Linked DNA regions of Daphnia pulex. The protein of the gene in region 2 binds, or shares a complex with, the protein of the main gene of each other region. Links are inferred from orthologs where the notes say so. Each region holds a gene or a part of one and is shown on either strand. Other genes may lie near its edges.

The links.
Region 1: mediator of RNA polymerase II transcription subunit 13-like (region 2) and cyclin-C-like share a complex: the UniProt entries of both Drosophila melanogaster proteins name them as parts of the cdk8 module of the Mediator complex. The link is inferred for Daphnia pulex from reciprocal best matches to the Drosophila melanogaster genes skd and CycC.
Region 3: mediator of RNA polymerase II transcription subunit 13-like (region 2) and mediator of RNA polymerase II transcription subunit 12-like share a complex: the UniProt entries of both Drosophila melanogaster proteins name them as parts of the cdk8 module of the Mediator complex. The link is inferred for Daphnia pulex from reciprocal best matches to the Drosophila melanogaster genes skd and kto.
Region 4: mediator of RNA polymerase II transcription subunit 13-like (region 2) and cyclin-dependent kinase 8-like share a complex: the UniProt entries of both Drosophila melanogaster proteins name them as parts of the cdk8 module of the Mediator complex. The link is inferred for Daphnia pulex from reciprocal best matches to the Drosophila melanogaster genes skd and Cdk8.

What each region holds. Positions count from the first base shown.
Region 1 is NC_060017.1:5,571,856-5,577,128, forward strand, and holds cyclin-C-like, read right to left. Parts: upstream 2,770-5,273; 5' UTR 2,642-2,769; coding exon 2,610-2,641; intron 2,552-2,609; coding exon 2,445-2,551; intron 2,377-2,444; coding exon 2,170-2,376; intron 2,110-2,169; coding exon 1,986-2,109; intron 1,917-1,985; coding exon 1,792-1,916; intron 1,718-1,791; coding exon 1,519-1,717; intron 1,415-1,518; coding exon 1,342-1,414; 3' UTR 1,248-1,341; downstream 1-1,247. Other genes in the region: folate receptor alpha-like, read left to right, coding at 29-217, 283-471, 763-978, 1,035-1,226; adenosine receptor A2b-like, read right to left, coding at 3,641-3,973, 4,721-4,834, 5,200-5,273. UniProt on the Drosophila melanogaster protein: Component of the Mediator complex, a coactivator involved in regulated gene transcription of nearly all RNA polymerase II-dependent genes.
Region 2 is NC_060023.1:11,957,368-11,963,063, reverse strand, and holds the end of mediator of RNA polymerase II transcription subunit 13-like, read right to left. Parts: coding exon 4,956-5,696; intron 4,878-4,955; coding exon 4,600-4,877; intron 4,520-4,599; coding exon 3,861-4,519; intron 3,772-3,860; coding exon 3,639-3,771; 3' UTR 1,513-3,638; downstream 1-1,512. Other genes in the region: 4-hydroxyphenylpyruvate dioxygenase-like, read left to right, coding at 1-199, 277-383, 455-647, 714-833, 897-1,019, 1,075-1,191, 1,251-1,325. UniProt on the Drosophila melanogaster protein: Component of the Mediator complex, a coactivator involved in the regulated transcription of nearly all RNA polymerase II-dependent genes.
Region 3 is NC_060025.1:6,925,240-6,931,147, reverse strand, and holds the start of mediator of RNA polymerase II transcription subunit 12-like, read left to right. Parts: upstream 1-1,781; 5' UTR 1,782-1,943; coding exon 1,944-2,033; intron 2,034-2,170; coding exon 2,171-2,278; intron 2,279-2,363; coding exon 2,364-2,555; intron 2,556-2,618; coding exon 2,619-2,778; intron 2,779-2,841; coding exon 2,842-3,053; intron 3,054-3,109; coding exon 3,110-3,274; intron 3,275-3,344; coding exon 3,345-3,614; intron 3,615-3,704; coding exon 3,705-3,821; intron 3,822-3,889; coding exon 3,890-3,996; intron 3,997-4,062; coding exon 4,063-4,366; intron 4,367-4,427; coding exon 4,428-4,805; intron 4,806-4,936; coding exon 4,937-5,056; intron 5,057-5,171; coding exon 5,172-5,625; intron 5,626-5,690; coding exon 5,691-5,908. Other genes in the region: metallo-beta-lactamase domain-containing protein 1-like, read right to left, coding at 1-65, 162-374, 442-571; chromatin accessibility complex protein 1-like, read right to left, coding at 978-1,054, 1,116-1,236, 1,314-1,448. UniProt on the Drosophila melanogaster protein: Component of the Mediator complex, a coactivator involved in regulated gene transcription of nearly all RNA polymerase II-dependent genes.
Region 4 is NC_060023.1:3,948,758-3,954,780, forward strand, and holds cyclin-dependent kinase 8-like, read right to left. Parts: upstream 4,064-6,023; 5' UTR 3,852-4,063; coding exon 3,691-3,851; intron 3,628-3,690; coding exon 3,441-3,627; intron 3,361-3,440; coding exon 3,220-3,360; intron 3,152-3,219; coding exon 2,962-3,151; intron 2,897-2,961; coding exon 2,782-2,896; intron 2,722-2,781; coding exon 2,623-2,721; intron 2,526-2,622; coding exon 2,453-2,525; intron 2,384-2,452; coding exon 2,286-2,383; intron 2,219-2,285; coding exon 2,134-2,218; intron 2,021-2,133; coding exon 1,547-2,020; 3' UTR 1,454-1,546; downstream 1-1,453. Other genes in the region: protein disabled-like, read left to right, coding at 1-857; uncharacterized protein LOC124198281, read right to left, coding at 4,435-5,196, 5,269-5,609, 5,668-5,908, 5,968-6,023. UniProt on the Drosophila melanogaster protein: Component of the Mediator complex, a coactivator involved in regulated gene transcription of nearly all RNA polymerase II-dependent genes.

The DNA.
Region 1 (5,273 bases), on a different chromosome or scaffold from region 2:
TTTGGCTTTTTAAACTTACATTGAGGCCATGCTTTCCCACCACCAAAATGCATGTGAAACGAGACATTATGTCATTTTCGTTCTTCTATTTCTTGGACTATTTCATTCGATCTCTGGTCAAATCAGTGTGAAGGATAAGAGACAGTTAGTGAATTCTTGCATCGATGGTAACAATCACAAACGAGAACCTGGCCCAGAAGATTCTTTGCACAAACAGGTAATATTTGTCTTACATATCTTGAATAATATTTTATCGATCGCCACTTTTTCGGTTCTTTTCAGTGCCTACCATGGAAAAACAATTCTTGTTGCACAGGAAACACGACAGTTCATGCTCATGGAGGGAAAATGTATGGCTTCAACTACAACCACTGTCCCAACAGAAAAATGTCGAGCAAATGTCTAGAACATTTTGTTCAGGATTTATGCTTTTATGAATGCTCACCTAATGTTGGACCATGGATGCAAACGGTGGGTTCCATGAAACTCATGGAAAAAATGTGTTCTCTCTTTAACATGCTTATGCAAGCTATAGGAATATAGTCAGTTCATTTTTCCTAAAGATTCACTCTGAAAACAATAGGCAGAATTAATTTTCTCAGCTGTTACATAATAAATAAGACATTGTTGTCTGTAAGCTTTGTAATTTTAGAAACACAGATCCACCTAGAGGCCTAGATGCTAGTTTTATATAACCAGCAGCATTTGTTTTGAATGTTTTAAACTTGTAGAAAATAATTGTATATTTTCTTTTTTATCTAGGTAAACATGAAAATGCGCAGAGAAAGATTCTTGGACGTGCCTCTTTGCGCCACTGATTGTGATGATTGGTTCAATGCTTGCAAGGATGATTACACATGTACAGACAATTGGACATTAAACTTCAAATGGATTAATGGGACCAATCACTGCCGACCTGAATCCGAATGTCGCACCTTTTCCGATATCTTTCAAAACTCATCTAATTTTTGTGAAAGGGTAAACAGTATTAACATTCTCCCTAGAATTTTGATTACATTTTTATTTTCTAAAAGGTTTGGGATCATTCATGGAAGTATACCAATAATTCAGAGCCCTGCATGCGTATTTGGTTTGACGGTGATCAAGGCAATCCTAACGAAAATATTGCACGATGGAAAATCCAACAAAGTAACAGCGCGGAAACGTTTTCAACGAAGCCGCTTACATACGTACTCCCCGCCTTGATGTTGTTTCTAAACTACTAGAATAGAGAAATTGCGTTCTCATTTTCATTGTAAAAGAAAGCATGTATTAAATAGTTGATCATAACACAGTTTTTTTTGTGTTTTTCAGTTTATAAAATGAGAATGATAATGATAATCAATTTGTCACACCCATGGACTGGTCATTTGTGCCCTGTATTCCATCCTGTGATTGTGCTGACGAGGGAGGCCTACATAGTTATCACAGTGTATTAAACAATTTTAAAATTTTATTCTTTGCAATGTGATCAAATAAGAAAGAATTGGGATCTAAATAGGAAATTGAATATCCTACCGACTTGGCTGCGTTTTGGGTTTAGGCATTTTGGCCAACAAACCCTGAATTTCTTTTTTCTCGTCGTAGGTCTTGTAGAGATCGTACAGAGCCAGAATTTGACGCGTTATTTCTTGAATTTTATCCGTATCGACGGCAATTTCCGCAAACCAATTTTTCCCGTCTTTCTGAAGCACAACACAAGCCATTTGCATGGCAGCTAATACAGAAGAAAAGAAAGAAATAAATGAAGTAGAGTTCACATGATAAAAGACAAAAATAATTCAAGCTAACCCAATGCAATTTGGTAAGGGGGGTACAGAAGAGATATATCAGTTCTTAGGCTATCATTGACTATTTTCCATGACAATCCAAGAAGATCTTCTTGCCCAATGTCTTGAACAAATTGGACAAGTGGTCTGTGTGGAAATTTCAAATGAAAACATTATTACATTATGCTTTAAATTTTCTCAGAAACAGTTGATCACCTGTAAGGTTGGTAAACAACTAGACAGCAATCCATGTTTTCCAATAAATAAAATTCACACTCAAGGATGTGTTGTGCTCTGTAGGGAAACTCTTGAGGATAGGCATAGTTGAACTTTGACTTGACTGTTTAAGAAGTTGATTGAATCACAATAACAAATTTTGTCTTATGAAAAGATCACATACCAACTGATTGACATGTTGTGATTAATCTGTTGTTCGAAATTACACCAAACTCTTCGACTTTTGAAGCCAACAGAATGCATGTGGGGGCAAGTAGCAGTGGATCAATGCATTTCAAGGAATTCCTGGCATAAAACCGCTTGAAGTAAACTGTGGCAGTCGCTATGACTTGTTGTTTGAGTTTCAAATGCTCACCAAGAACCTGGATGACTAACATGAGAAAGACACTTTTATTATTCAACATTTAGGAGATGATTCCATAGTTAATATAAACTTACAGTTACTAAAGAAGATGAAGAGTTTTTGATAGTCTTCCTCCGTGACGATGGCGAAATCCCCTTGGCGTTCTCGAACCAAATCAGAAGGGTCTAGTAGCCACTGCTGACTAATAATAAAGTGAGTAATTAAATGTGAATCAAAACGTTAGACAAATAAAAACTAACCAATGCGAGCTTTGCCAGAAATTCCCAGCCATACTCTGCGGCCGAGGTTTAACTTGTTTACTGTGTGTAAACGATGCTCGACACTGTTAGGTTAGACGACGTAAGGCGGCGCTTATTAAAATGTCGCCGTGCCCGGATTTTCTAACATGGAAGCCTTTTCGCACCCGAGCACGCCAATAAACGAAAGAAAAGAAAACATCGTGATTTACTGATTTAGTGATTTGTGAACGATCGTATTCGTGATTTTGTTCTGTTTTTTTTAAAGTTTTATTAGCGTTCAACAAAACAAAACATTGCATTCCATTTGGTTTTAATTAATTAATTGTAAACTTATGACTTACTGTATGACTGTTTTTGAGTGATTAGGATGATGACGCAATGAGTTACTTTGGTTCGACGTAAATAAACATGATTTAATATTTTTGAGACTCATTACACAGCGTATTTGTTTACATATTATTGTCGCCTAACGAAACGTTCATAACACAATGTTTGTTACATTTTACAAAGTTACAAACGATCCATGAATAATTGAGTATGTAAATTTGGCTACTAAACACGAAGGAATTTGACCACTTGTCCGTTTTACAACAACGAGAATCATGAGTACATCAGGCCGAAAAGAAATGCGTTGCAAAAAAATAAGAAAATACAAAATGCGGAATGGACCATTGAGTAAGAAAACAGAGATGATACAAAATATGTGTGGGCTATATGACGATATGGACAGTCAGAGAGAGTTTGAATCCCGTGGCATCGGCACGAACGAAAAATACAATCAACATTCAATGGAGCCTATACACAAGACATGAAAATATTTTAATATCATCAACACAACCGATGGGGGGAAAAAATCATGTGACATATCTCCCGCATCAGTCAACAGCAACGATGGACAGGCCAAGAAGCAGAGGCATCCTGCATGAATAAAGAGTGTAGCCCCCGTGAGAATTGACTTGAACGATTCTTGGCATGCGTCCGGCGTAACGTGAAAAAACAAAAACTATTTCAAAACGTGCCGTCGTGAATTTTTACAAGTCCGTGACTTGTTGCTGATCCGGCGGGATCGTTCGTTGTAGGTAGTCGTCGTTGGAGAGGTCGGTGGAGTTGATTTGCCACTCGATAGGTGGCAGCTCCAGCTGATAGATTTTACTGAGTCGCTGTCGATCGTGCGGCTGGATGGATCCAGCTCTCGATCCGATTCCGGTGGCCATTTCCACCGAGCTGAGCGAGCGCTCCATCGCCCACTTGGAGCAGGGGACGTAGCGGAGCAAACGGGCGAAAGCCAGTCGGAAATCGCGGTTCTTCCATCCGTAAATAAATGGATTCAGGGCTGATTTCCCGAAATACAAAATCATGACAACCTGCCGAAAACAAACGGCAACATTGAGGAAAAGAGTTGCGTGTCGGTTACACAACAACAGCTCGGATAAAGAAAATTAAACTGTTTAGCATGTTTAGATCCGGGTTGAGCCGGTTGTAAAATTATCACGGTTTTTTCCCTATTGTTATACATGTTGTTTACAGGGGATTTTAAATTTTGCCACGCACCCATCTAAACGTAACAAATTCAAAACTGAGAGCGAATTTGAACGAAATGTCGTAATTTGAGAAAAAACCCCAAAACAAATCAAATAAAAAATATATTTTTTAAATTCCTTGACTGCTATTAAAATTTAAAAGTGGTTGATGAAACTCAACCGCGTTTCCCGTTTTATGCGGAAATGTCAAACATTTTTTCAAAATTTTCGACCCTCAAACAAAAAAATAGAATTGATCGTTTCTTTTAAAAAACGAACGAACGAACCGGGACGATAAAAACTGAAGGAGCTGCAAGTTATTATCTTTTCGCCTTAAATTTCCCGAAACTGTCACAGATAAAAAAAAGGGAAAATGGGAGCGACTGAATAAGTGATGGACGTATTATGAAGCGGGCCAGTGAACTATGTAATCTGTTGTTTGCATTCAACAACAACGAAAGCGAAAAAGGGAAAAGTTCCAACCGTCTATCTAAAAATATCTGAGAGAGTTTCACTAGAAAATTGGCGTGCATTATCGTCCCATATTTATTTGAGCGGTTTTTCTGGCTAATTCAAATGGTCATAGTTTACCTTTTTGGCTCGGCTGAGTGCCGTCTGGTCGATTTGTTCGTTGTGTCGGTATCGGATGCCAACGACTATCAGATAGGGAAGAGTGCTCACGATGTTGACTCCAAAGATCAACACCTGGGCGTGTAACAGCGTCGTCGTCCAATCGAATTCCAAGAAAAAGAACAAAAACGAGAGTCACTGTGCGCACTTGACTGCGCGATTAGTTTTCATATATGTACAGCCCATATAACTTTACGGACACAGCACTCGTGTTAATCTTTATACAAGGGAGTTGATCAACAATAGTCGTAAAAAACGACCAAACGATCTGCTATGGCTTGTTTGGAAATATATGAAATAGAGTCATCATAGCTCAGATAATAAGCGCGGGCCTTTTAAAAAATATAAGAAAAATGGGCCATCACGGGTTTTTTTTTCTGTCAGCCGCCGTATTTTTATGACGCACAAGTTTGAGATCTTAAATAATGTGATATAAATACCATCATGAGGGCCGTTTTGGCTTCTTGATGCAAGTGGTGCCGGTTCTGGCGCCAAGCCTCTCTGAAAATGTGGC
Region 2 (5,696 bases):
TGCTTACGAACCCAACGATGACTCTGAGATGGGCCCGCATTTGGTGCGACACGGCGATGGCGTCAAAGACATCGCCTTCAGCGTCGAAGATCTCGACGCCATTGTTCAGGCGGCCAAGGACCGCGGTGCCAAAGTCGTCCGTGACATTTGGCAAGAAGAGGACGAATTCGGTTTCGTCCGTTTTGCCACAGTTCAAACGGTAATTTATATCCTAGCGCGAAAAACCAGTTTATATTAAATTCCAAAATTGGTCAACTTGTTTAATATATCTGACAGTATGGCGACACTACACATACCTTTGTGGAACGAGGCAACTACACCGGTTTCTTCCTGCCCGGCTACAACAAAATCCCAGTCAGCGAAGATCCTCTACTTTCGACACTGTAAACATTTTCAAATGAATTTCCTTTTGAGATTAATATTTATATTACTAAATGATTTTGTATTATTATAGACCTACGATCGATTTGAATTTCATCGATCACGTTGTGGGAAATCAACCGGATTTGCAAATGGAGTCGGCAGCTGAATGGTACACTCAAAATTTAATGTTTCATCGATTCTGGTCGGTTGACGACTCTCAGATTCACACGCAATACTCGGCCCTACGTTCCATCGTCGTCACCAATTACGAGGAAACCATCAAGGTAATCATGCACATCTTTTTAAAAAAGGAGATGGTGGTCGTTAATTATTTTTCCTGGCCACTCAAGATGCCCATCAACGAACCGGCCAACGGACTGAGAAAGAGCCAAATTCAGGAATACACCGACTACTACGGAGGCGCCGGAGTGCAGCACATTGCCCTCAACACTTCCGACATCATCACGGCTGTACCGACTAACATTTTCTTTGTGTTTTTGTCAATTATGAAAATTAAACGTTTCTATTTTAAGATTCGCAACTTGAGGAAGCGCGGCACTCAGTTCCTCACCGTCCCCGCCGCCTACTACGATCAACTCCGCGTGAAATTGGCCGAATCCCCCGTGAAAATCAAGGAAGACTTGAGTGTCCTTCAGGTTCGAATTTCTATTGATCTGAAATGTGTTGCAAAGTAATTAATTGTCTGAACAGGAGCTCAACATTTTGGTGGATTACGACGACAATGGCTACCTGTTGCAATTATTCACCAAACCCATGCAAGATCGACCTACCTTGTTCTTGGAGGTCATCCAGCGTAACAACCACCAGGTAACGCGCATATTTTCTTTACTAGCATCAACAAAATAAAAAACAAATTATTTTCTCAGGGTTTCGGAGCGGGCAATTTCAAGGCTCTTTTCGAAGCCATCGAGTTGGATCAAGACGCCCGCGGTAATCTGTAAAAAAAAGTGTTTTGCGGTCGCCAAAATCTTCGTAGTCTGGAAATTCCTGTAAAAGTAGTGATTTTTTTTCTTAATACTCTTCCGCTAACTCAACTGCTGTACTCTCCAATCAACCTGTTAATGACTCGGATTGACACAAATATACTCACGAAATTTTGAAAACGGACGGGGCTGTTTTTGGCGTTGGTTACTGTATAAAAGTTACTTGTATTCGCGCAAGCAGGTGTGTGTTTTTTTCTTTTCGCTGACGGAATATCAAAAGAGAGAGAATAATAAATGGATGAAAATAAAAATGGGCGTGGGGGAAAAGATTGAGGACTTAAAGAGTTCAGTTTCTTTTGGACATAATAGTATAAATCAATAATATTAATTCATATTACAAATTCAATTTTTTGTATAATAGCGCAATCGCCAATTGATCATCGGGCCAAAGTTTTCAATTTTCACTTTTTGCCCGACAACCGTCAGGCCATCAAAATTTCAAAGAAAAACAATTCAATTATGTGTGTGTGTGGAGACACGGACAATTTTGAGAGGTGAGAAACAAGCTTACAAGGAGGTATGGGAGTTAATGTGAATCAGGGGGGAGAAGGGGGACACACACGAAATCAACAGGATTTTATTATAAGTCTTGTTTTTATTGAATGGTTGTTGTTTGTGTGTTGTTGTGGTTTGTTAAGTTGCTGTTTCTGTTTTGTACAAAATGCATATCGGATGAGGAGTGTGTGGTTCATTCTTTCCTTCCCAGTTACACGGCGACAAAAATGGACGATCAGAGTTTCGATTTGACACACACCTCCACAAAAGGGGAAATCAAAAGGAAAACAAAATTCAATCGAAGGAGAGAGGAACTGACCAAATTCAAGAAAAAAAAAAGAAAAACATGTTACCACCAAGAGAAGATGAAGAATGACGGTCTAGTTTTTAGAATCTCCGGTCACTTGTCGTTCGATAAGATTTTGAAAAAGGGAAGGAAAAAGGATACAATCATAAAATAAGTCGCCCACCCCATCCTACTACATTTCTCTCTCGACACACAAAAGGAAAAATTAAGGTAATGACAATTGATGAATAGAGGATGTTGATTTGAGTGTTGACACTAGAGGAGTTAAGCGGACAGGACAAAGAGAAGAAGAATGTACAGCACAGGGGAGGGCTAGGAAACAACAACAACAGACGAGATGTCACCTTCGTTTTTTTCTTACTCACAATCAATTGCTCTAAGTCAGGCAGGGCTGTGTTCCGTCATTCACTTGAAATATATAAGATTTTATTATTATCATCATTCTCTTCTTTCTTCTAGAGGCCCTGCAGAGACAAAACAACCAAACACAATAAATCCCAACAAACTGCCTGGGTTTTTTTTTTTGTTGCTGGTTTGTCCCCCAAACTAATTGATTAATTTTCGCTCACAAAACGGCCAGTATTGCTGCTGTTTCGCTGGAAATATTTCGAGAATAGTTTTTTAAGAAATTTAAAAAAAAAAGGAGGGAGATAGAGGTAAAGAGGAGAAATGCGTATAAATGAAATCCATCCATCCAAAAAGAAAATTAAACCGAAAGAAATTACAGGAAGAGACGAAAAAAAAAATAATTTCGGAGCAGAATTACAAACGGTATGTGGCCCATATGAACGCTTTGGAAATTGAACTGTCCTGTACAAAAAACATCACCATCACAAAGCTGATTACATAATAAGATATTGTTCCTTTGTCTTTTGCTTTTTTTTTTAAGTTTTTCAAGATAGAAAAAAAGGGGGGGGGATGGTACAACAACACCGTGAAAGGAGGAGGAACACAATATATACCCCCGACGCTAACAAATCCATCGCAAATTTTTTTTGTAAAGATTATTATGTAATTAATTATTCATCTTTTTTTTTTCTTTCTTTTTTTGTTGGTGTTTTTACTTTTTGCACTAGAAAAATCGTCAACGAATATGAGAAGGGAACAAGAAAGACCCAACAATCGAACGAACCAACAGAAAAAAAAGAAAAAAACATTATGTAGAGCCATTATGTAATATTATACTATTTTTTTAGTTTTTTTAGTTTTGTTTTTGTCATGACGGATGGTGGCGTGTTGTGTTTGTGTGTGAGTGTGAGGGGGTGAGGCGAGTAGGATATTGCGAAGTGCATACACCAGCACAGGGCATCGATTCTTTTTTAAGTTTCTTTTTCTTTTAAATAATAATATCGTAATTATTTCTTCTTCTGTTTCTGTCAAATTAAGAAATTCCGACACGGGGAAAACAAATTTTCTTTTTTTTTTCAGAGGGGTTGTAAATGATTTTGTTGTTGTGTTTGTTGTTGTTTTCAGACTAAAGCAGCCAAGGCGTGGTAGAGCTGCACCAAGAGCTGGATGTGAATGGGGAGGCAAGAGCGGCGATCACGAGACTTGGGATCGAGCGACAGCCAAGAGAGGGCGTTGTAACCTTCCATGACGTACCTTTGGGGTTTCCAATCGAAATCAATAATCAATACCAACGTGACCCACGACCTCATCCCAATTTATAAAAAGAAAGATTCGTTTCGTACCTGAGGACATCCGTCGTGACTTGCGAGTCGAGCGGATGCACCTTTGACGAGTTGTTGACTTGCTGTTGCTGCTGCTGCAGGAGGATGTCGTCCGAATTCTGCTGGACGGCGTGGTTGTGCAAGTGAAGTGCGCACTTGAGGAAAGCCGGGCAGGCACGCGCCAAATGAGGGCACGAAGACCAGAACCAGGACGGCATGTCGCCCGTTGGCGCCGTCGACACGTAATAGCCGAGGGCCAGTGGCTGCTGGAGCAGCGTGCCCACTTCCTCCTGCTCCGCTCGCGGACTCTGCCGCCCGGAACCGCCCGCGTGGTGGTGTCCGCCCATGCCCGACGGCGACTCGGGATTCATGTTGGAGCGCATGCCGCCACGGCCGGGCGAACCTCCACCGCCGCCACCGTGCGAAGCTCCAGGTGACCGAGAAGTTCCGCAACCGCCCATGTTGTTCATCCCGCCGTTGTTGCCGCCCGTTATGTCCGACGTCAAATCGTCGGTGCCGTCATTGACTTGGTCCGTTTCCGGCCACGTCATGAAAATGTCGTCAAAGCCGCTCATCCCCTCGAATCCGTCGCCCATGTCGTCGTTGAGGGCAGAGAGCAGATCGTCATCTCCCAAATCGGGTCCGTTGATGTTTTCCTCGTGGAACGTCGTCTGAGGAGACTGCGTAAGAAAAAAGAATAAACAAGTTAGAATAAAAAAAGAAACACCTTTCCTTCAGGCGAGCAGAAACGACGACTTACTCGAGTGGTAGCTGACGTGGGAAAAACGAGGATGTGAGTGCAAGAGGCGTCCTCGGGTGTCGACAGGTGACTGTTGGCTGACTGCTGACCGAAACGCTCGTCAGGAGTCACTTGATCCGGCATCATGCGGAAGTGAGAGTCCGGCTCGAGCGAGACCAGACAGGCCGACACTAAAGTGGGCGCCTGCGAAGGGAACACGAGCGAACACTGGCCGCAAATGTCGGCCAAATGTCGCGAGGCTCTCAACAGATTTTTGCGACTCAGCAGGGCGCTCCAACCTATTGTGGCGAAAACACATAAAAGATTGACATTTTAAAAATCCATCCGATTGGTGAAATTAAAAATTAGATTGTTACTTTTCAATTCGCCGTGGCCCATTCGACCTACGCGGCCAATGACGAGCCTCCACGGATGAACTCCGGTGGAAATGACGCCCAGAATGAAATCCATGAGCCGCTGGAGCCCGAACCGCCTGACTGAGACTCGTTTCCGCTTGGTTCGGTTTGGGACGTCGATGCCGATGGTGCAGCTGTCAACCAGCTCGCCGCGCTCGTCCGTGCAGGCGGCAATCAGCCAGCGCTGATCTTCTGATAAGCAGTAGCTGACGTAGAGGACGGAATACTTGTCGGGCCGGGCCAAGAATGACAGTGGGCCACTGCCGGGCCCTCCGTTGGTAGACACGCCTGGATCGAGGTCGCAGACCGTCCTGTCTTTGGTCGGCGCCAGGACGTAGGCCGGGATGTAGACCCTGTAAGGAGCACGATTCCTCTCGTCTTTGGCTTTGAGGAACGTGTCAGAGGCGGCAGCCGGACCGAATCCCGTCAGCGATTTGACGTTCGACGGCTGTGAGATTAATTTCTTGCACTGCGAAAAGACGTTGAGGGCCAGCGATCGGAGCGAATCGTAGCGAGAGGCGCCGTTCACGTCTTTGCCCAGTTGGAGGATGGCGTCGGCGGAAATCAATTGCAGCGACACGTTGAGCTGGACCGTCTCCGAAAGGAGCGACAACATTTGGTGATAGCAACGCAAAAGACCCAACGCCGTCAACCGCCCGAGGTCCAAATTGTCCGAGCCGAAACTGAACGGATCCACGATGT
Region 3 (5,908 bases), on a different chromosome or scaffold from region 2:
ATCATCTGCTGTGTGTCCAGGTGTAGGTATTACTGTAATACCCTCATCAATTTCAAATGGAAGACCTACAGCACATCATACATTTTGTATGTAAAAAAAATTAATGTTTGTTTGAAGCTAAAGTAATAAAGTACACAATTAAAGGAAACCACAGAATTTACCTTTATCAAAAGGATGTAAAAAATATTTGTCTTTAACAGAAATGCAATAGCCAACTATATGTTTAGCTTTCAGAAACAAATTGTTGTTGCCAGTGTGATCCGAATGACCATGAGTAGATATGACATAGTTGATGTCATCAGGGGTTAACCCATTCGCCTCTAAAGATAGTAAAATGAGATTGGTATCCCAAGGTGTCATTGTATCAACAATTACTGAAAAAATAATTTATTAACTGTTATCACGTTATTGCGAACATATTTGGATTGTGCTGTTTGTTACTATTTTTACTGCCGGTAACCAATACGCATGAGCAATTTGCACGGACGAAAGGAAGATTTTCGTCTTTTTCCTCAATTGTGGTAGAAGAATATCCAGTATGTATTACTGTAACACGGTTGGAGTTCGCCATCCTTTTAGAAATTAGAGTAGCCCTTCTAGTGTCAAAATGTCAAAAATCAAAATCAAATGTTTTGTTTTTTTAGACTGCTTTTTTCGCCATCTATGGGTGACACGCTGAACTTTGCCATTTTGCTTATTGCAGCAGCTGTGGTTTGAAAATAACGTACGCTAAATTGAGGGAGAAAAAAATACGGACACACCCGTTTAGGCTAACAAATGGTCACATAAAACCGCAATTAATTAATTACAACAGTACATTAACTGCAGTCTATTGAACCACCAAACTATCTTAGTTGATGTGAATCGTAAAGGAACAATGGGTTCAATCAATGTATTTGAAATTGAACTTTCCTTAGTGGAACACTTATAAATATGAGCAAGTAATGTTGAAGACAGAAATGAATTTGAATAAACACTCAAAACAAGTCACCATTTCCTTTTTCCTTCAGAATTTCTTGATATTCCTTGTATGTTATTTTCTTAGGAACCATATCTGAAAACACAATAATAATAATAAATTAAAATTTTACTAATACCATTTAGTAACACAGTACCTTTGAGAAACTGCATAGAATCACTTTTTTGAACAATGTCAGCTAGACCTTTGTAAGTAAGCTCATTTGACTTTTTGGTACTTTCATAAATCTCTTGGGCTAAATGTTCTACAAAAAACTCCTTAAAACATTGAAACATTTTAGATGAAGATGAGAAAAATAAGATGAAAAAATTATCTGGAAACAAACTAAAAATACCGTTGCTTTTGTTACAAAGTATAATGCGTCAGTGGATATGCTCTCAGTATCTGGGGAACTCTTCATAATCATTTTTACTCGTGCTTGTGGTAATATTATGGAGCCGTCTCCTAATTTCGGTTTAAAGGAAGACATTCTTAATTTAATTTCACTTGATTTAGTCCTTCACTTCAATCAATTCAGCAATTCCGCGCCACTACAATTTCTAACAAAATGCCAAAATAGAAATGTTCAAAATATAGTCTGCTGACTTTTACAGCACTGCCAAGATGTGATCAATGAAAATTGAAAATGCAAGGAGCATATTTTGTCATTAATTTGTTCATAATAAATTGATACCAATTGTATTAATAACTATTTCTAAATTCAGTTGCTAGACTACGATTAGTCCAAAATTCAAATACATTCATCTCCAATTATTCTTTATGTGTGCCGTAACAGCAAATTATAGAAATGCAACGTTGTAGCAAAGCCATCACACTGATATATCTGTCTGAACCATGGTCTGAAAATCGGAACTCTTGATAAGAATTTAGAAGTATTTGATTACTTGTGTACTTGTGTTGTGTAAACATTGATGTGTGGTAACAAATTTATACTTCTGCGTGGAAATTGATTTTAGAGCTAGTTATGGCTTGTTTATCAATGGAAAATCGTCCTCTTAAAAAATTGAGATTAGGACCGCCCGATGTTTACCCACAGGATCCCAAACAAAAAGAGGTAATATTTTGAATGTAGCTGCAGCTTTTTTATGAGCCCAAGTACGAAAATGCTAGTTGCCAAAAGGCAGTTTCATTTAAAAAAAAGGATAATTCTTTATGTTTTCCTTTCATTAACATTTGGAATACTATTTTTAGGATGAACTGACTCCTGTCAATGTGAAACAAGGATTTTCTCATACACCCAATCTTAATCAGTCTGAAGAGTATGGATCTGCTAAAAATCACAACTTTTCTTTATCAAAGGTAAACTACAATTTACTGTAATTAGTATGATGTTCATAGATTGTTCTAGGCTGACAACCATTTTATTATTCTTTCCTAATGTTAGGTCCAAACTTTTATTAATGGAGTGCTTACAAAAAAACAAGAAATCAACACATTGCCTGATACTGGCCGAAAACGCCAACTCATCAATCCCAAAGAAAATTTCCATAATGTTACTCCAAAGTCCAAGGCATTCATTGAGTCTTGGTTCAAAGACTTAGCAGGCAGCAAACCTTTGATGAATCTAGGAAAAAGAGTAATATTATACTCAGAATATCTTAAACAAATAAAAATACCAACTTTTGATTCCTTTTACAAGGTGCCAATATTCAACAAGAAGGAAGAAATATTTATCCAACTAAGTGAATATCAGGTTCCTATGTCTAGAGCAATATGGTTAATCAAGATGACATCTGCGTATTCAGTGGCTATTTCTGAAGCCAAAATGAAAAAGCGTCAAGTTCCAGATTCCTCTCAAGGTAGTTTCCAAGATTTAAATAATTTATTTTATCTGCAATTATAATCATTTTTTTGTTATATAGAGTGGACTAGTACATTGGTCCGGTTCATAAAGGAACAAATTGTGAAACTACAAGATTTCTATCAAAAATCCACAAATAGTGGAGGAACTTCTGCTGCATATGCTTCAAATGCTACTGCATATCATAATGGTAGCCCTTTGATGAGTGATGAACAGAAGCTTGCTCTTCGCCAATTTAATTATTGCCAGCAATTATGCAAAGTGATGTTTGAGGTATTGTGGAGATAAAATTTTATTTTTTCGTTTTTGCAATTTCATTTGTCTTTCAGGAGGGACTTCTTGAATGCCAAGATTTCTTACAATGGCAGTTGGACATGCTTGAAAAATGTAAAACTTGTGATGATGGTCTTCTCAAGTTTATTATTCCATTAATCTTGCAGTATGTAGATGAATTTACACAGTGTGAAATTCTGAGTCGAAAGCTTGTTTTTCAGGTAAGGTTGGATGACCAAGTTATATACAAATCTTGAAATAAATGTATTGTAATTGGTTTCGTTAAATCAGGTGTGTAGAAGAATTTCACCGCTTCTATCGAACGATCAAATCAGCGAAGGATCAGTTTCGTTAGATGTGGGAAATTGTGGGCAGCATAGGAGTGTTCTTCTTCAAATGTCTGCCATCATTCAAGCAGTCGTTCTTCATTGTCCGACGGCGTTAGTGTGGAACCATTCTGGAGAAGGAAAAATATCATCTCATTTGGTTGGATCCCCTTTAGATCATTTGCCTATTCCTCCGTCAGCATTACCTATGGCTCCTCGTTTTTCAAACGATCACGTAAGGACTTGTGACCTAAATTCTAGGATTACATTTTTCTTGTCACTATAACATGACAAACTTTAATCGTACTATATTCTTTTATTCTAGGTCCGTCAGATGCTTCGAGAAGCTGAGAATGCCATCAAACAGCGTAGTAAGGCTGCCGAATCACGATGGCCTTTAGATAAACTGATTCATCACTCCGAAATCAATTGTAGTGTTAAAGTAAGTCCAATTCTAGATATTGAAATAATTTTCATTTAAAATTTTAATGAGATGATTTCATCCAATAGCAGAAACAACAAAATCAGCCACAGACTGGGATTATAACAGCACGAGTGCTTCAGGCTCTCGAAGCATTGGATCTTCATAGTTTCGACCGTGTAGACTTGACCAACAGGTGAGACCACTTAATAGTCGTACCCTTACATCCTGTTTGTGACCTTTCAATCAATATTCATTTCAGTATCGATTCACTGTACGTCAAAATATTTCCGGCAATTGGGGGAAACAAAGGAAATGTTGATCCTGCAACTGTAGAGCAAATTGGCCAATTCGCCAAACAGGATGAACCGTTTGTTCGCCTGTTGTGTCAATGGGCAGTTAGTGATCAACGATATGGAGAACACCGCGCGATTGCAGCTGCTCTGCTTCTAGAAAAGAGACAAATGGATTTGGTGGCTTTAACAGAAAGTGATGCTGTTGGAGGCGAAGACAATGATACCGACGAAAATTTGGCTGCCGTTTCCGCCGTCCAACCCGTTTATCAGGTTTGCTTGATTGTTATTTTGGTTTTTCTTAATGTTTCTAAAATTAATGTTGATTTCTTAGGGATTTTTAATGAAATTTCTTGACTCCGAAGCACCAGTGCTCAATGAATCAAGTTCCGGGCACAACAATCGAACAGTTTTTGCGTCTTTGGTTCATTTATACTATGAACTCATCAAGCATGACGTGTTCTCTCATGACATGTACATGTGTACTTTGATTTCGCGAGGTGATCTTCTCTCAGTTACACCTGGCCATAGTGGAGCTACGGTTGCTCCGTCAAATTCGGGTCATTTTGCTGGCACTCCAAGCAGCGGAATGAGTAGTTTAACGGGATTCCAATGTATGAATGATTTACGCTGTGAAATGGATGACAGTAAAATAGACGACGATCTTGGGAAGTTGTTGCAACATATCAAAGAAGAACAACAAATTGTCATGGTTGGTATTTTTTCTTGTATTTATATTAGTGTAATCAAATTCCACTTTCGGCATTATTTACTAGCTATGATATTTAAAGAAGTATTTTTCAGAGGTTTTATTTGATGTTTGTTTTTATTACTTTCACTCAGGACACGCCTGATTCTCCCAAAGATGAAAGTCATAACACACTTGAAACTGGTCGAGGAGAGAAAGAGGGTAAACGTCAATCAAGACACCTCCTGTTTACCACTCATTTTCCTTTGCCTCAGGTAATATACATAATATTGATCTAAGAACTTGCACGAATATTCGAACTATATTTAAATTATTGATTACTTATTGGTTATTTGTGTATCCTAAAGTCGTCTTATCTTTTCTACTTAGGATGATAGTTTAATCCACGACTGCAATCAACGACACATTCTGCTGTACGGAGTTGGAAAAGCACGCGAAGAATCTCGCCATGCTGTTAAAAAAGTCTCAAAGGAAATGTGTCGCCTTTTTCACAAGAAGCTAGCGATTGATGTCCAAACGGAAGGGACTAATCTAGCTGGAGGAGTCGGAGCCTTTGTAGGTTCTTCGAAATCCCGAAAACACTCGTCGCGCCTCGAGTTCAATTTTGAATTGAGCATGCAACGCTTTCTATCGTTATCTTACTTTGATCGTCATGCCGTAGCTGCCCAAGCAGCCTCAACTTGTATGGAAATGATCAATAGCTTCACCGTTGGAGGAGCAGCGTATTTGCCTATTTTGGAACACATTTCTTTTCTCTTCGATCTCTTCGAAGTTTCGCTAAGTATAAGTGGACTCATAGATCTATGTCTACAGCTCCTTAAAGGTAAAAGCTAAGAGTCTTCCAAGATATAAGGATAAAGCTAACGGTTCTATTTGTTTATCCATTAGAACTTCCTGAAGTTGAGCTCCTGCTGTCTCAAAGGAACTCGGTTCTTAGTCGTAACTACCTAACCAACGTAGGACTGTATATCGTTGGCGTACTTCGCCGTTTTCACTGCTGTCTACTACTCTCACCCGAGTCGACTGCTGCTGCGTTTGAATCGCTATGCCGGATTGTCAAGCACGTTACGAATCCTGCCGATTGCAGTTCGGCGGAACGCTGCATT
Region 4 (6,023 bases), about 8.0 Mb from region 2:
TTGCATACTCAGCAACACAAGAAGCCGGATTTCTGTATGGCAACCCCCCAGTCGCGTCCGTCGGTAAAACAGTTTCCCCTATTTTCGGATTTGAAGATGATTTTAGCCACATCCAGTTGAATCGATTGACTGAATCGCCATATGATAAGACTGGTGCCCGACCCAAGACTGCGGTGCAATGTCATCCTAGCGGAAATTCTGTATCTTCCGGAAGTGCCGAATTTGATCACTTTGCCGAGGAGGACTCGGCAGTAAAATCAGCAGCAACTCACACCGTTTGGAATGGTTCGACACAGAAAGATTACAATTTTTCTGAAACGCCTGCAGATGAAGAGGAGGAGGAAGATGAATCAGAAAGAATAGAAGTCATCGAGAAAGAAGATAACGAAGCCATTGATGATTTGGCTGACAAGTTTGCTGCTTTTGAAGCACGCTTCCCTGCCAACCCAGTTGAAGGATTTGGTGATTCGTTTGCAGATTTTGACCTTTCCTCAGATAAAATGGTTACCGAACCAAATATTCCACCCGTTTCAGATTCGTTTGCTGTCGATTTTAGTTCAGCTTTTAGTGAGGCTAAGGATCCGGATCATCAGCTAAAGACCAAAGGAGATCAGTTGGTCAAGAAATCGACATCAGTAAACATCTTTTCACGAGTAGACGATCCCTTTGATGACGACTTCTTCCAACCGGATCTGCCTCCAGCTAAAGCTTCTTCCCCTGCACCTTCTAATTCTCAAATGGTTAAACAACCATCTGTTCATGTTTTTAATACGATCGTCGAAGACCCTTTTGCGTGGGTTCAACCCTTCGACGATAACATTCAATTTGATGACGTTGACGATGAATTTACTCTTTAAAACTATCATTTAAAAAGTCGGAACCTTGTCTATTGCGGATTGACGTACTATCTTTTCTCTTGCGCTAAAAATTTCTTTGTCGTTTCTGCCATCCCCTGTCCCCAACAATAACAAAAAAGAAAGCATCCAAGTAACATTTTCTGTCATATCTGTATTTATGACCAGTCATGGAAAGTGGACCTGAAAGTGTGGCAGAATAATAGTTCACCAAATCTCTTGGTGCATCTTTGTTGATGCCAAATGATGTCAATTGGCATAGAAAATGTGACGGGCTAGTCATCTTATTTTTTATTTGTGATTGTATTTTCGTTTCGTAGCCACTTACCATTTTACCCTTCTTTTAATTTTTTTAATTTTTTTTGCTGAACATGAATCAAGGACTCAATATTGTTTCTTTTTCTCGCTTTTTTTTGCTCTACCCAAGTACCCATACACAGCCTCCACTTGTTTTCGCTATTTGGCAGTTACTCCCTTCGTCAAACATGATCATAGTTTACAGCAATTTTCCTTTGATTCCTGGAATCAAAACACGATCCATCGTGTATCTTTTATTCTATGTACCTTTTTCATTTCCAGCGGTAATGCATTATTAAACGTTTTAGTATGAAAATGTACGCATTTTATTTTATTTTACGAATTCAAAATGAAGACAAAATACAATAAGTTGCTAGTAATAGATGAAAAGAGCATCAGAATCTTTGATTAAATGAGTTGTTTTGCTGAGGATGCGACTGTTGTTGAGGATGGCCAGGATGATTGGAATAGTTCGGATGCATACCTCCTTGCATGTTGCCTTGTTGTGACGGATGCTGAGGGTGATGGCCATGGCCATGATTAGAATTACCCGATTGTGAAGCATGTTGCTGTTGCTGTTGTTGCTGCTGCTGCTGCTGTTGTTGTTGTTGCTGCTGCTGTTGTTGCTGTTGTTGTTGCTGCTGCTGCTGTTGTTGTTGTTGCTGTGCAGAAGGATGCTGCTGTACATGGGGTTGCTGTCCAACATGTTGACCATGGAAATCTGGTGGGCCTCCTGACATGTTGGATCCACCAACATTGTTTCCAGGATGTGGGGGAGCCAACCGTACTCGTTTTGCATTAGGACCATGAGACTGGTCATTGGGGGCATTCGCTGCAGTATTCTGACCCTGTGGATTCTTAGCAATCATCTGAATTCAAAAGTGTACCCAAATGCCAAATAAAACGCAAATGAAAGAAAACCAAAACAAGGGAGACGAAAAAGACTAGATAAAATAAAATCAAAAGAACAATTTATTATTACCTTGCTGCTATCAGATTTGTCATCTTGCTCTTCGTCACTCAAAAATTCTCGCTTCGGGTACGGAATAGGACAACCAGCAAATACGCTAATGAAACACAAATCTGATCAAAACTGATTCTTATATTACATTATGATTCTTATTTTAAGTTTACTCTGAAGTAGGTAAAGGATCTTCCTGAAAGTAAGGATCAGCCATGGCAGATTCTGAGGTGAATCTTTTAGTAGGATCCATCATTAAAAGTTTGGAAAGCTTGAAGCAAATTAATCAGTCAAAAAAGGAGAGAAAAAAACGCAACTTTTAATTTTAAATATCGATTACCAAATGAAAAGCTTTAGTATCGGCTTTAATTTTATACCGGTCCATATACTTCATCAAGGAACATGTTTGATAGCTAAAAGAAAAAAATAAAAAAAAAATAAACAAAAGATGCATTTTGAACATGGAGTTAATATTAAGAAGTAAACAAACAAATGGAAATAAACACTTACTTGTTACGTTTAAAATCCTTGAGAAGTGTAGGATGTTCAGGCATTTTTTTAATATCTTCCCAGTCCTTGTCATGTGGAAATCCCATTACGTTGAAAATTCTACAAGGAAATGTAATAAATAATTCATTTCTGACACTCACGAAGAGCAAATTTTCATACCGATCGAGTTGATCGTGATGATAGGGATTGGAAGTTTTAATGTCTTCTTGACGACAATGAAAAATTGGTTCTGATGTTAGTAGTTCAGCAAAAATACATCCAATAGCCCAAATATCTAAAATAAATTGTAAAGCAATGATATAGAATTGTGAAACACCACACAAACTACTAATGTTTTACCAATAGCTTTTGTGTAGTGCCTAGCTCCTAAAAGCAGTTCTGGTGCTCGATACCAGAAAGTCACAACTACAGGGTCCAAATCAGCCAAAGGTTTCAGTGGTGAATTAAACAAACGAGCAAAACCCATGTCGGCAATTTTAACTCTTCCCCTTTCAATTCCTTCTCCCATGACTAAGATGTTGGCTGGTTTCTAAGGAAAAGAAAGCAAAAATCTATTTGTTGATGAAAATATTAACAAAAGCAGATAATTCTCAATACCAAATCACGATGAAGGATCCAGTTAGAATGCAAGTAGTGAATCCCATCCAAGATTTGATATAGCAAAGATTTTACCATGGCTTTAGGAGTGTAAACTGCCTTTTTATTTGCTTTGGCTGCTCTGTGGAATTTAATGATGTGCTAAATTTTGGTTTGTGACAAATATAATAAGTTAAAAGATCATGAACCAAAACAACTTTAGAAGGAAGATTTTAACAAACCCATAAGTCATGTTCTGCATAATCAAAAAGAAGCCAAACTTTGCGATCAGTATGGGAAAGAAATACTCGTTGAAGATTGATCACATTAGGATGCTTTAACTCCCTGAGCAAGGCTATTTCACGACAAGCTGACATGGAAAGACCAGTGCCTTCAATTTGCTTTAATGCATATTCCTTTTGGTCAGCACTATAAAATAAAACATAATTATATTGAACTTACACAATTTCTCGTGCTTAGAGAATATCAAACCTAATTAGTTTATTAATATCCGAAGTGGCGAATGTTTCCTTTCTTTTCGCTTTATACACATGACCGTAAGTACCACGACCAATCTTCCTTCCTTCATATTCAAACAGATCTTCTACTTTGGTACGTTCTACGCTCGTTCGAACTTTAAAATCGTAATCCATGCTAGTTATTGCATGAATGCAAATCAATTTGTGTAATGTTGATATTTTTTCTTGTTGACGATTTTTGGTTTGTTATACTGTAATGACGTTTGCCAGATGGAGGAAATGAAGAGCAGACGGAAAAAACTAAAAATTCAAATAAAAGGCAGAGCAATAGATACCTGGTCGGTTCTCGGCCGTGTTGGCTTCCCTATCCCGGTTTCAGGGTAACCGTGGTCCGATTTGGAAAAATTGATGAGCGCCTCTAGTGAGTGTGTCAGGTACTACGTGAAGCCAGCCAATCAGGAAGGGTCTATGAAAAACTCATTGACCAATCACAGCTTACTTTTCTACAAGAAGTGAACAATAATAAAAAGGTAGAAGTATCCAACTGTCAAACCTCTAAGTCATATATAAGTGTCCTATTTTTCTAAGTGTTCTCACATTCTTACATTTTATTGTTTGTTTGTGTAAAAAAAATATGTAATGACATGGTATGTTTAGTTTTCAGTTACTTTGAATTTTATTCTAGTGTAGTTACAAATGGGTATTTATTAAAACGAATCATTTTCTTGCATACAATGTTTCATAAATACAGAGGTACCTACGCAAGTTTTGCTAATTTTTTGTTTTTTTTTACATTTGCTGAAGCTTCAGCTAACAAAAGATTTTTTAGTCTTTTTGATTCAAAATAATATCTAACTCCCACATATTCTCTTATGAGGTAAGGTAACTTTTCATCTCGATGAATGTCACAAAAAATGGGAACCAAATGACAAGTTGAAATTTTCTCCATGCACTCTTGAAATGACTCCTCTTCATACATTTGGCCAATTGGCTCAAAATGACCCTCAATTACCTTTTCTATCACTCTGAATGTTTGGAACATATTTACAGTGACAAAGATCAAAAACCCCTTATTGCGCATTCGAGTATAATGATCTGCAGTGAAGTCTTCTGGCAACTCCAGTTCCTCGCAGCGAAGGGATTTGTAACAGTCAGGACATTTTGACATACTCTTCCTTGTGTGAATCATATAACCACACAAATCATAAATCAAAATATCTTTGACGAAATTAGAATTCGCTGGTTCGTTAATTTTATCAACAAACCGAATTGTTATTTCCTTCAGTAGTTTATCTTCTAATACTGATCTCAGGTCGGAAGCTCGAATGTCACTTTCCTTGGCTTGACGTTTAAGGCATTTTGACATTGTTACTAGGATGTTCATCTGCTCAACATTGTCAACGTTTGCTCCTTGTATAATCGTGGATAATCTTGCTCCAAGAGACACATAGCGAATGATTTGTTGAAAAGAAGTCACCGTGGGATGAGCATCAACACCACGTACAATGCCGAACAGTCTCTGTATGAATTAGAAAAAAAGTTATTGAGTAATTGCAATAGAAATGATAATCACGATTAAAATTCGTTTCACCTCTACTGGATCTTGATTCATTTTTCCAGTGAGGACTACTGTATAGCCTGCGTTAAACATTTCTTCAGTTAACGCAATAACGCTTCTTATAGTCATTCTCCATCCATGTACGGTTGTCAAGGAACAAAACATTTTTCGGTTTTTGTCCTTTTCATAAATCCTCTCAGTTACTGCTAGAACTGCTAACATGGCTTCAAGTATTTGTTTCCTGCCTTTCACTTTTTCATCATGTGCATTTATCCACCAGTTATTGGGAGTGATTCCTTCTTTGATATGTCTACCGTTGAGTACGTCAAAATTGTCATTCACAGTCTTTGTAAGCCGCTCAATGTGTTCAGTACCTAACAATATGTAATAATCAATAGCATTTTAAATTGATTGATTAATTATGGAAAATACCTTCAAACAACTTTTTCAGCCGTTTTTCATTTGCAGTAAAGGCTGGCATTTCACGGTAGATTTTAAAAGCAAGAGCATTTCGTTCCGAAAATGTTTGAGCAGCTAGTCTGACGTTCATTTTTTGAAAATTGTTTGGTTTTACGTGCGCTTCAGTTAATCGGCAGCATAACATCAATTGCAAACCTTTCTGGGCTTCCAGTAGATGTTCATACGAATAAAAATTTACGTTGTGTCCCTGGAACTACAAATAATATTTAGAATTACAAATTAAGTAAAACAACATTAAGAAAAATAAGTTACCTGAACTAATTTATGTTCAAGCATATGGTTTCTTGTGCATTTCAACAAATGAGGAA